Oryzias latipes: one gene and its partners. The protein of the gene in region 3 purifies or fractionates together with the protein of the main gene of each other region. This does not show direct contact. Links are inferred from orthologs where the notes say so. Each region holds a gene or a part of one and is shown on either strand. Other genes may lie near its edges. The genes, in order: ykt6, bet1 and stx5.

Region 1 (4,108 bases), on a different chromosome or scaffold from region 3:
AAAAGCAATTCCACGAAGGACAAATCATTTCCTCCCTTGGTGCGACTGGTCCAACAGATGCGCCTTTATCATTTTGGGTTGCTTTGGAAACCTGTAACAGGCGTGCCTCTCACACGAAAAACACTTACTTACACCGAGTTAAGTGGACAGGAGGAAATTGTTAAATGGAGCAAAATTACAAGAGAAAACATCAATTGAGGGTGCCAAGTCTTTAGTGGACTAATCGACATTTTCACCTCCCACCTCCAAAAAAAGAACCTTCAGACATAAGTCTGTATGGGTTCATGAAAAAATCGTCTAATAACTCGATGCGGGAAGGGTGACCCAATTAAAAACTGTATTTGACGTTTGTTAAAAGTACAGAGCAGGGAGTACAGTTGGTAAAGGTTTTGTAATTTTTAAAATAAAATACTAGTCATTGTAAGTAAACGTTGCTACCCAACACCATTTATATAACAACCATCAATAATAAAACACATAGGACACATTTTTAAACATTTTTTGTAATTTATTTAACTAAGCATCACTGATATGTACTAAATATGGGGCAGTCGTGGTGCAGTGATAGGGCGGTCGACCTCTGATAGGAATATTACGGGTTCAATTCCCACCTTGCCCACCCATGTGTCGAAGTGTCCTTGGGCAAGACACTGAACCCCACCTTGCCTCTGGTGGAAGGTTGGCGCCAGTGTTCAGCAGCAGAGTTGCCACCAGTGTGTGAAACTGTGTGTGAATGGGACTGTGACTGTAAAGCGCCTTAGGCCTTCGAAGATGGTAGAAAAGCGCTATATAAGTTTATGCCATTTACCTACTAAAACATGAGACCCTTTGACATCTAGAGGTAAACTAACCAGTTATTCTAAAAAAATGTTTTAACTTTATTTACAGTGAATCCATTTTATTATTGAGTATATGATGGGGGGGGGGTTATACATGTGAAGTACAAAAACATGAAAAAGAGGAATGTTGAGCTGAATATCCATGTTACCTTGCATGCTGCCTGACGTCTAGTATTACTACTTTCTTTATTAATGTAATTATGAAATAGCTATTGTTTATTTATCAAATGTACTGGTGACTCTGATGAGTGAGAGATTTTTAAATACATTTTTAACAGTTCACCGGTACCTTAAAAAGACACCTCTACAATGTTCCTCGCATGAGAGCGGAACGATGAATACAGCGGTTCGTGTTTCTTCCGAGCTACTACACCGTAGGACCGCGTTGGGGCAGTGACGTGGTGGCTGATTACTAAAGTACATCTTGGACAGTTGACGCTAATTAAGGTGTGGTTCGGTTATCTGAGCCGTTCGCAACTCACCATCAAGCTTTAATTAATTTGAAACAAGTGATTCTATTTGCTTTTTTGACCGGAAATTTATCGCTCACTGCTGATTTGCCTGGTAAGTTGTCTCGGGCCTCAACCAAACTAGTTAGCATGTTTGGCTAACTTCTTCTGCCGGGTTTCAGGAATGTAATCGAAAGTAAAATTGATGTACGAATATCTGTCTGATTGATTTCATGTAACATCCACATGATTGTTTTTTTAACTAGCTGGTAATTGTTAGTGGCAGACAGTATTTTCACTCTTGAAGGAAGTTGGCCCCCTCTCTTGGCCATCCAAGTTGTGTTGGATATTTGGATAATGCTTACTTCTTGTCCTTTTAATCAGATTTGATCCGAGGGATAAAAATGAAACTCTATAGCCTGAGTGTCCTCTACAAAGGAGCGACCAAATCAAATCTGTTGAAAGCGGCCTTTGATCTGTCCTCCTTCAGCTTCTTCCAGCGTTCCAGGTGAGTTCCACTGACCGTAACTAAAGTTTATTTTGACTGTACCGGAAGTAACGCACAGACCGCGTTTGAACTAGAGGCCTCCATGAACTTAAGCTTTGCTTTGTTGTCATCATTAGTGTGCAGGAGTTCATGACCTTTACCAGTGCCTTAATTGTTGAGCGAACGTCACAAGGGACCCGTGCCTCTGTCAAAGAACAAGGTAACACTGAGCTGTTTTTCATTATTATACATTAATCATAGCAAATGCCTTATTGTTATCACAGTGCCTAGGAAAAACTGTCATTTTTTAAACTATAAATTGTAGTATTATAAGAAGGGAAAAAAGGAATACAAACAGAGAAGAATGTATTGTCGACCTGAAGGAGTTCATTGTCTCCAAAGTGCTTTTTATATTCCCACAAATTCATTAGTCTTTTTTATGTAGCTATAATGTAGCTAGGACTATTTTCTAATAATACCTAACAAAATGATGTTTGACAGCTAAATGTAAACTTAAAAGGAGACTTTGATACTAAATAAAAATCACAGATGTTAGTTCTGTCTTCCTAATCCACTGTTTTCTTCTTTTGATGTTTTATATCTTGTGGGGTTTGTATATTAACAGGGGTGGAACAATTGATCGTATTATCAATTTTTGTTCCTATGATCCAACCAGACCTGTCTGAGGCAAGTTGTTAATTGAATTGACCTACACACTATTCTAAAATTGTTCCAAAATATAATAAATATCAATATTAGAAAATACCATTTAGATTTTACTACAACGAAAAACCACCAAGTGCCATCTCAGCAGATGACGCACAAGTGATGGCAGCAAAAATGGATCAATCCATCATTACAGTCCAATGTGTGGAAGTTTTGCGAAGAACTTGTTCTGTCGACAGTTTTATCAGAAAGCTACATAAGATTTTAAAAATGGAAACGCATGATCTACGGATTTACACGTACCTCTTTAAGCTGAATGTTTGGCCCACTTTGAGCCTTTCCCTGTTAGAAAAGAGTTTTCATTGTTTTGGCGATTTTTATTTTAATTGTTTTTGTTTTATTTTTTTAGAGTATTTGTGCCACGTCTATGTGAGAAATGACAGCCTGGGTGCTGTGGTCATCGCAGATACAGAATACCCACAGAGGGTCTGTTTCACATTGCTTGACAAGGTAAGTACAACATACATTTTTCAAGCAATTGACTAAAGATTTTAAAACTCAAATCCTCTTGATTTCTTTTTTTGTTCTTTCTAGGTGTTAGATGAGTTCTCCAGGCAGGTGGACAGTATAGACTGGCCAACTGGTAGTCCTGAAAAAATAAACTACAAAGCCTTGGATATTCACCTGGCTAAATATCAGGTCTGCTTTGCTATACCATTGAATGTCTATTCACATATCTGAACTGGAGAAAAGGAATAGTTTATTAAGTTGTAGAGTTTACTATTAGAGAATTTTGCCAAACTTATTTTTCGAAACATGTTACTGAGCTGTTTGTTCTTTTTTCCTCAGAACCCAAGAGAAGCAGATGCGATGACTAAAGTACAAGCAGAGCTGGATGAGACAAAGATCATTCTGGTAAACTTCCCTGTCTTCAGTTTTCACTAAGTTCTGAATTCTTGTACTAAATCTACAGTTTAAAAAAAGCGAACTGGTGTTGCACAACGTGTGCGTATTGTGTATTTCTGTCCATTTGTGACAAAGTGAACTTGTTCACAGGCATTAAAATTGATTGACGACCATGATGGCGCCGATCTATATCCGTTTGAGCTATTAGCTCCAGCCTTGGTCGTAGCTAATGCCGAAGCTGACTTCAGGGGCAGTGAACCTGCAGGAATACGGTTGAATAGTCTTTCTTTGTTTAGGAAGGTTTCTAACAAAGTGAAATGACCCAGAAATGTCAACCTTGATGAAAACATGTCAAACTCTCTTAACACAGTCAATAAGCTTCAATGCTTACTTTAAATTCTTCTAGCATAGATGGACAATCCATGTGAGAAAAAAAAATACCTTTTCATATTTAGAATTCACTTTTATACGGTTATTTTATTTGAGCAGAAATATCTTTTATGAACTATAAAGTACTCTTTCTTTTTAATATTTTATTTTTCCCTACTTTTCCTTGAAGATTTGGTGTTTTCTGTCGCTGTGAAATAAAACTGTAGAAACACTAAAGCAATTTGACTTTAAACTAAGAGGTGGAAATAAACAGTGTCTTTGCCATTTTTGAACAAGAGGCTCAAAAAGATGCCATCTGTGGACGTTTAACGGTCAGCAGAACCCGGGGCTCTGGACGCAGCATCATAGAATGTTTTTCTGGTTCTGATTTC
Region 2 (4,194 bases), on a different chromosome or scaffold from region 3:
CCTCTTGGACTGAAACACCAGCTGTCTGCTTTAACCCTTGTGCTATCTTAGATGACCCCACCCTTACTTTGACGTGTTCTCCCTACCACGACAAAGGTGGAAAGATTTCATTTAATCCATGGACACCAGTGAAGATCACAAATCATTGAAGAAAAAAGGTTCAGAGCACTGTCTAGTGGGTCTAGATGACCCAACTCCCAATATTAAAGTGCCTAGAATAGCACAAGGGTTACTAGTTAATTACCAAATAAATGTTCATTTTTTTTACTGCAAGTCTTAAGATTTGCGGTTTAATTTAAAGTTTGACAGACTAGAGACTTGAAGTTGAACTTTCATGCAAAGACTGGACTTATGAGCACCTGAGTGACAGTTAATTACAGAAGTGTGTTGTTGCTTTTTTTCTCTCTCCTCCAGGGATTCCAGGTTATTGTCCATCGGCGCCGGGGCTGATGAGGTGATGCTGGGAATAATCTGCAAGTTCATGGACACTTTACCCCGGAAGTGATGTCATTTGCAGCAGATTCCTGCTCAGACGATGATAATTAATACAAGAGTGCAATTTTAAACCATCCTGACCTGTTCAGATATTTGTAAAAAAAAAATTAGTTTGGAAATCTCTTGTAATTGTTTGCTTCTTTTATTGATGAAGTTATGTTAAACGCTTTGAACACATCCAGCATGGAAACACAAACGATGCCATAAAATCTGTTTTTATTTACATTTTTACTCAAGAATGAAGGTCTCTGTGGTGATTTACAATGTCAGGTGATGTAATACAGACGTGTCCCTTATGTGCTGCACTGTGTGTGTCCACATTTATGGGACTGAACAGTTGAAATAAGATTGACATAATTTTGTATAACAAATGTTTATGCTCATAGTTTGTAAATCAGTGGCAGAAGAATTAAAATAGCAAAAAACAATGTTGAAATTGTGTTTTATTATGGAAACTTTGCTCTGGCAGCATTTAAGACTGAATTGTTTAGTTGTGATTTTAGGTTTTTAGGACTATCGGCAGCCTTTAATTCATTTGGCTGTCCAAAACTCATCAACATGAGTTGTAATTACCGTACTTGTGTTCAAACCTGTCCATATCAACTCCCTCCTTGACATAAGTACACCAAATTGTGTTTAATTATTCCACAGCTCAAACCACCTTAACCTCATTTACAAAAAATAACTCATCAGCAGCTGTTGTATCTTGGACTGTGGATCCTGTTTGTTTAATCATAACTGAGCTGTAGCTGTGCAACACAAATACTAATGTGTTAGGTATACAAATGGTATACAAGGTGCTTTCCTGGGTCATTTGCCTTGTTAAAGATGAACACTTTCAAAGTTTATTTCTTGTCTATTTTCTATTTCAAGCCCTTTCATGGCTCATTTAGGGGACATCAGGAAACAAAATGATGCTCGAAAGAAAAAAATCCCCACCTAACCAATTGAACAAGTGTTTTTTTAGGTCAGAGCTGCTAGTGAATGGGAATGAAGACGTGGAGCTAAGGGGCAAAGTCCAACAAGATGCTCTTATCACCTCAGCTTGATGAACCAGTAGAGGACAAAGAAGACAAAAAGGCAGAAGAGCAGCATGTAGCAGAGCAGTTTGGTCTGGCTCCCTCTGGACAGCTGCTTTACTCTGCCAATGGTGGCTCCCAACAGTCCGCCTGTAGAATCAAAGTCCGAGTCCTGTGAAGAGATGAGGGGGGGATCAGGAACCGCTTCAAATCCAAGAAAATGTTTACTAAGTCGGTACTATTAAAATCCCACTCTTTGAGCTATTGTCCCTCTGTCTTTTAATTATGATTCTGCTGTTTTTAGCCAGAATCAATTTTCTACAGCAAAAATAAACTCTTTTTCAAGCTTGATTTATTTTTTGTCTGCTCCCGATTTAAAACAATTTGAATAAAGAAATACTCAGAAACACAAGTTTAATCTTTGTTTCTTTTTATGCCATACATCATGAGAAAGCTGCTACAAGAACATGTTAAAACCATTTTTCATAGGAGTGAGGACTTTAGAGTAACTGTAAAGGTACTTCTTTGCCATTTAAATACAAAGAGAAACCCACCATATCTTCCAACATCTTATTCTGGTATTTAACCTCTGTTCCAATATCAATAGTCAGCTGGGAATGACAAGAGACAGGAATTGATTGTTAGATAAGTAAAACTTGTAAAATAGCTTTTAAAACTAGAAATTGGTAACAGAAACAAGTGAATAGTGACAGACGAAGGCACAGTTTTGTGTCGCAGCTGGTCTTACACTTTTCAAGGCGCTGACTTTAGCTCTCAGTCCCTCCTGTAAATGATCATTTTCCTCCTCATAAACACTGTAGCCACTCGCCACATAATTCCCGGAGCCTCCTTCACCTACACAAGACAACAAAAAACAATATTAAATGCTGAGAATAAAGCCAAGAGCCTTATTAAAAATGTAACTACGCCTCAGAGTGTTGCATCCATCCACCAGTGAAAACAACATTAGCTAATGCTAGCTACCATGTTAGCTGGCTAGCGATCTGAAACTTCCCAGTTTTAGACTCGTTTCTTACCCAAACCAGCGCGTCTCATCCTTACTCACTGAAGCCGAAAATGTCCACAGTATATTCCGAAGAATTAAACAATGAAAAGTTTAAAAATAATCAGAGGTCTAGTCTCTACACATAGGGAAACGCCACGACATCATACGGTGGCCGAGAAGGACAAATCCTATGTAATAATGTAAAAGCTAAAAAAAATCCACAAAAAAAAATCAAGTAAATGATTCCTAAAATAGTGTACGTTTATCCCTTTGGGTACTAAATACCCAAATATTATTCCACATTTTGAAAAGGTATATTGAATAATATAATCTTTTGACAAATTAATATTATTATTTTTATTGTTTTTGTAGTTTCTAAAATTACATTGTTACTGAATAAATAATCCAGATTTTTGCTATTGTGTTTCTTTCTTCTTTTAATTCTAAATTACGAGACCCAATCATCGCACATGAAACAGGATTTAAGTATTATGTCACTCTTAAAACACCATGTTTGTAGCTGCAATTCTGCTGTTGCTATTTCTTTAATACTTTTCTTTATTTGCATTGTCTGTTTTCTAATCAGAATAAAGTCACTGTGCCTTCAGAAAGAAAATGTTGTTCTTTTTCTCATCTTTTATTTGAAAATTGTTCAAGAGAATCACCATTTAAAACCCCACTCAGATGAAGATTGTGTTTTTAGTGTTTTAACATGTTCTTGTGGCATTTGTTGGAAGATGGCGAACATTAATTAAGATATTTAGGCTTCAAATTGGGTTTCTGAGTGTTTCTTTATTCCAATTGTTGTTAATCAGGAGCAGACAAAAATACTGGCACCTACCTCCCTGCTGAGTTCTGATGGATCCACTTGTTGTCGACTGGATTCATGTATGTCTTTGTTTTACTTGTCTGATCTGGCATCTGGATCAAAACTGGACAACTGGATAGCTCCAGTATTGCTCGCCATTTTTGTTGCCCAGTGGGACATGCAAGGAACACCTCCCAAGGGAGGTGACCATTGCATCTGGACCAGATGCTTGAGCCACATCAACTGGCTCCTCACAATGTGGAGGAGCAGCGGTTCTACTCCGAGCTCTCTGCAGGTGACCGAGCTCCTCACCCTATCTTTAACCCTTGTGCTATCTTAGATAGATAGATAGATAGATAGATAGATAGATAGATAGATAGATAGATAGATAGATAGATAGATAGATAGATAGATAGATAGATAGATAGATAGATAAGATAGATAGATAGATAGATAGATAGATAGATAGATAGATAGATAGATAGATAGATAGATAGATAGATAGATAGATAGATAGATAGATAGATAGATAGATAGATAGATAGATAGATAGATAGATAGATAGATAGAATAGATAGATAGATAGATAGATAGATAGATAGATAGATAGATAGATAGATAGATAGATAGATAGATAGATAGATAGATAGATAGATAGATAGATAGATAGATAGATAGATAGATAGATAGATAGATAGATAGATAGATAGATAGATAGATAGATAGATAGATAGATAGATAGATAGATAGATAGATAGATAGATAGATAGATAGATAGATAGATAGATAGATAGATAGATAGATAGATAGATAGATAGATAGATAGATAGATAGATAGATAGATAGATAGATAGATAGATAGATAG
Region 3 (3,651 bases):
TCGCCCAATGCCTCTTTTTTTGCCATATGATTATTTTTGGCACATTTTCTATCTTAGTTAGTTTTAATTATCATTTGTTCATATAAGTATGATGCCTGTCTTCAGTGTAAGACCTAATAAAACAAGTTCTCTGCCATTAATAAAATAACAATCCATTAATCTAATCTGCAACTGAGGTTTAACATGTGAAGTGCTCTGAGTGATGCACAGCAATAAAGAAAGTGCTTCAAATGAATAATGCAGCTTTTCCCTTTCTATTCCACACCCACCTCTGGACAGTCTCCTCTTGCTCCTTGACCATGTGTGCCAGCTGCTGGAATATAGAACCCAGTTCTACGATGGTGCTCTCAATGTTCTGCATGGTGTCTGCACGGCTCTGGATGTACGAATCCTAGAGGGAAAAGACGCCAAAAAGGGAATCAAATTATTCTGCAAAAATACAACGTTGCATGTTGCAAAGCTTTTAAACAAAATGACTCATCCTAAGCTGTCTACCTGTTCATCGATGAGCTGGAGCTGCAGAGGGTTGCTCTGAGAGTCCATATTTATGGCCACGTCTCCCAAACTGCGCGACTCATCCTGCATCAGAACCGAACTCTCTGCAGGGGGACAGCAGGTAAACACCTGTTCATCAAGGCTGGAAAAAAAACTCAGAATTGCAGAGGGGGAAAAAAAAAAACACAAGATAGAAAAACACAGCAGGTACACACAGTAACTAATCAATACCCGCTCAGAGTGTCAAACGTTCCAGGGAAATACCTTTTACATTTGTGGTTGTATAGCCCTGGTAGTCATAGCGCGGTTCACGATCTGCGTGCGGCTCCTGGGCCCCTTTTTTGCGGCTCCCTAAAATATTTTTAATTTTTACATTACAGAGGGCCAAATACAGGAATAATCATTCACAAAGAGTCTGAGCAGTTCTCTAAGACAGCAGCAGTTTTTACACTTGCAGTTAAAAAAAAACTACTTCTACTACTATCTTTGAGAACAAATGTATGCAACATGCTCAATGTGAATTCTTCTTTAGCTAAATTTATCATTTATTGATTTATAACAAGCGCAGATGTCACTAAATTCTTTTTTTTTCAATATTCTGGAGATGTCCCCTGTAGTTCAAGATCCACTGACAAAATATCTAGTTTAAAATTACACATTAATTAATTTTGTGGATTATTTTGGGCAAGAATTTTCCGGAGTGAAACAGAAAAGCTGTTCATATCTACACATCATTGTTGAAACCATCTGATTTTTGTATGGGTTCCCCAGAAATTCTCCATCAACTGTTTAGTAACCTCACACACCTTCTGTGTTAACCTGCTTAGAAAGTTGTTGAGTTTTTTTGGAGTTGAACCAAACATTTTCCTGATGATGTAAACACACACACACGAACACACACACACGAGGGATTTGACTAAACACACTCCTCCCGGAAAAACACCTGACTCAGTTAAATTGTTAGTACTTTAATAATCCATGGGGACTGACCGTCTTTACATACTTTTAAAAAAAAATAAAAGCAGGAAAGCAATTTGTTGCTTTAAATACAAAAGAAAAACTTAATTATTAGTAAAAAGACTGTTCATTATTAAAGTATAACCATTTTTAAAGTCATCTTTTTTTTTTTAGGATTTAGTTTAAAAGACAGTTTATCAGTTTCGTTTAGTTATTAATTTTTATTGCTTGATTAGTTGCTGCTTCAAAGAAACACCTCCCACCAACAGTGTTAAGCAGAGTCAGTTCAAAGTGGCCACAGCATGTTTGTGTGACGTCAGCAGACTTACTGAAGTTGTTTGCCATCATGGGAGAAGTCGAGACGGGAGGCTGGGAGAACTGTTCTCTCCTGCTGCGCTGCTGCTTCAGGTTCTGCAGACAAAGGAAAGCCGCTTCAACAACTTAGACTGAGACTTTAGAAGAACTTCAAATGTAAGAAATCTCCATTTCTACTTTTCTTGAAAAATGAAAATGGTTTCTCACCTCTGTTCTGACCTCAAGGACCGACTTGAAATCATTTGACATAGACGCCAGTTTAGACTGCAAACAACATGTAAAGTTTATTGGAGGTTTTGTTTCTTTATAGTAAAAAATACATTTGTATGTGTTAGAGCTTTCAGATGGTTCAAAACTAAACTATGATTAATGAAGTGTGAGACTTCAACAATCCATGAACATACCTGTAGTGACACCACTATAGTGTTAGAATGAGATTGGATGTGTCGGCCACCCGGAGCTCCACGTGATCTCACCAAGTCCTGCAGCTGTGCTATCTGTTTGTTCAGACTGTTGATGTCCTGCAAACACCAAGCAGAGGTGCTGGGGTTACTCACCACATCCAAAGCAACAGGAAGAAGAACTCCAACTCGGCTCACTTGTTTAATGATGTACGTCAGCTCTTCAATCTCCACTGCTTTGTCATCAAATAAGGATTTCCTTTTTGCCACTAAAATCAAAGCAGTACAATCAGCACTACTGATGACCTTTTATACATTTATTACCAATGGTCTGACTATTTCAGACAAAATATTTATTACATTTAGTGCAGCCAACAAATAAAAACTTACAAATAGTGAGCTTCTCCAGTTTGGCAAAAGTGTTGCTCAAGTCTTTCCCAATTCTCCTGCAAGAACAAACAGAAACGCTGTGTTTTTTACTGAAGTTGTAACAAAGTTTTCTTTCTCTCCAAAAGTTAAGGGACCAACTAATTATAATTAACTAGATACATTATAAACATTTAATTCATTTTACATATAAAATGACAATCAAGTTATTCTATTCAGCTGCCCACATCTCAGAGGCAAATTTCTAATAAACTACTGCCGCACTGCAGAAACTATGTCTTAGAAAACAATGCATCATAATTAAAAAACCACTGGAAACGCTTTTACAAGAGATCAAAACATGATTGGAGAGGGACTTTAAGGCTGACTTGATAAAACAAAAGAAGGCGGAGATCCAAAAATAAGCTCCAATGCAACTACCAAGCCTTAATATTGAAATTATCTGTGGATTTGAACATTGCATAGTCAAACATAAGCAAAGGATACATTTTTAAATGCCTAAATCTCCTTTTTGAACATTTTGAATTTCTGCTGTTCAAACAGTACGTTAATATGATTTATTGTCGCTCAGAATTTTTACTGTTAGTATAGCTGTGAGGACAAATGTCCAACTTCTTAAAACAACTACACATCACTGTAAAAGTCTTTTTTTTTAAATAAATAATATATAACTGTAAAAAAAAGACAACATATTGTCCAACGGTTACAGATATTAAACATCAACATTAAATACTATTCATGTAAAGGAATTTATGAGCTTTTGTATCAAACAAGGAAAGCAAACAATGAGGTTCCTACTTTGCCATCACTGTGAAGTCACTGCGCTGCCTCAGGGCGGCAAGAGCTGGTTTACTGGGCTGGACTCCATTCTGATGAGAGAAGACGATAATTTAAAAAATGTACAACTTTAAAAAAAACCACAAAGACACTAAGCATAAAAACTTGCACCATCACACAGATATATGTGATATGACTTAGTGATATTTCATTGGGCTGATAGAAGTTTGGGATCAATGTCAAACTAAGTATTATTTTATGTGCGTCATTGATCAAGAGATTGATTTAATGGACCAATATCAGTCAGTTCAGCCCAAAA

Evidence for each region.
Region 1: the proteins of stx5 (region 3) and ykt6 purify together in Homo sapiens (affinity purification with mass spectrometry; 3 studies listed by BioGRID and IntAct, with this or other methods). This does not show direct contact. The link is inferred for Oryzias latipes from reciprocal best matches to the Homo sapiens genes STX5 and YKT6.
Region 2: the proteins of stx5 (region 3) and bet1 purify together in Homo sapiens (affinity purification with mass spectrometry; 3 studies listed by BioGRID and IntAct, with this or other methods). This does not show direct contact. The link is inferred for Oryzias latipes from reciprocal best matches to the Homo sapiens genes STX5 and BET1.

The regions. Positions count from the first base shown.
Region 1 is NC_019867.2:5,872,137-5,876,244, forward strand, and holds the start of ykt6 (synaptobrevin homolog YKT6), read left to right. Parts: upstream 1-1,166; 5' UTR 1,167-1,286; exon of another isoform or gene 1,287-1,403; intron 1,404-1,672; 5' UTR 1,673-1,692; coding exon 1,693-1,796; intron 1,797-1,912; coding exon 1,913-1,995; intron 1,996-2,850; coding exon 2,851-2,951; intron 2,952-3,035; coding exon 3,036-3,140; intron 3,141-3,290; coding exon 3,291-3,356; intron 3,357-4,108. UniProt on the Homo sapiens protein: Vesicular soluble NSF attachment protein receptor (v-SNARE) mediating vesicle docking and fusion to a specific acceptor cellular compartment. Functions in endoplasmic reticulum to Golgi transport; as part of a SNARE complex composed of GOSR1, GOSR2 and STX5.
Region 2 is NC_019869.2:10,286,655-10,290,848, forward strand, and holds bet1 (BET1 homolog), read right to left. Parts: upstream 2,713-4,194; 5' UTR 2,571-2,712; coding exon 2,552-2,570; intron 2,370-2,551; coding exon 2,263-2,369; intron 2,126-2,262; coding exon 2,069-2,125; intron 1,687-2,068; coding exon 1,531-1,686; 3' UTR 628-1,530; downstream 1-627. Other genes in the region: probable acyl-CoA dehydrogenase 6, read left to right, coding at 415-505. UniProt on the Homo sapiens protein: Required for vesicular transport from the ER to the Golgi complex. Functions as a SNARE involved in the docking process of ER-derived vesicles with the cis-Golgi membrane.
Region 3 is NC_019868.2:11,891,556-11,895,206, reverse strand, and holds part of stx5 (syntaxin-5), read right to left. Parts: intron 3,425-3,651; coding exon 3,354-3,424; intron 2,615-3,353; coding exon 2,559-2,614; intron 2,438-2,558; coding exon 2,367-2,437; intron 2,289-2,366; coding exon 2,172-2,288; intron 2,032-2,171; coding exon 1,975-2,031; intron 1,864-1,974; coding exon 1,782-1,863; intron 847-1,781; coding exon 760-846; intron 600-759; coding exon 496-599; intron 392-495; coding exon 270-391; intron 1-269. UniProt on the Homo sapiens protein: Mediates endoplasmic reticulum to Golgi transport.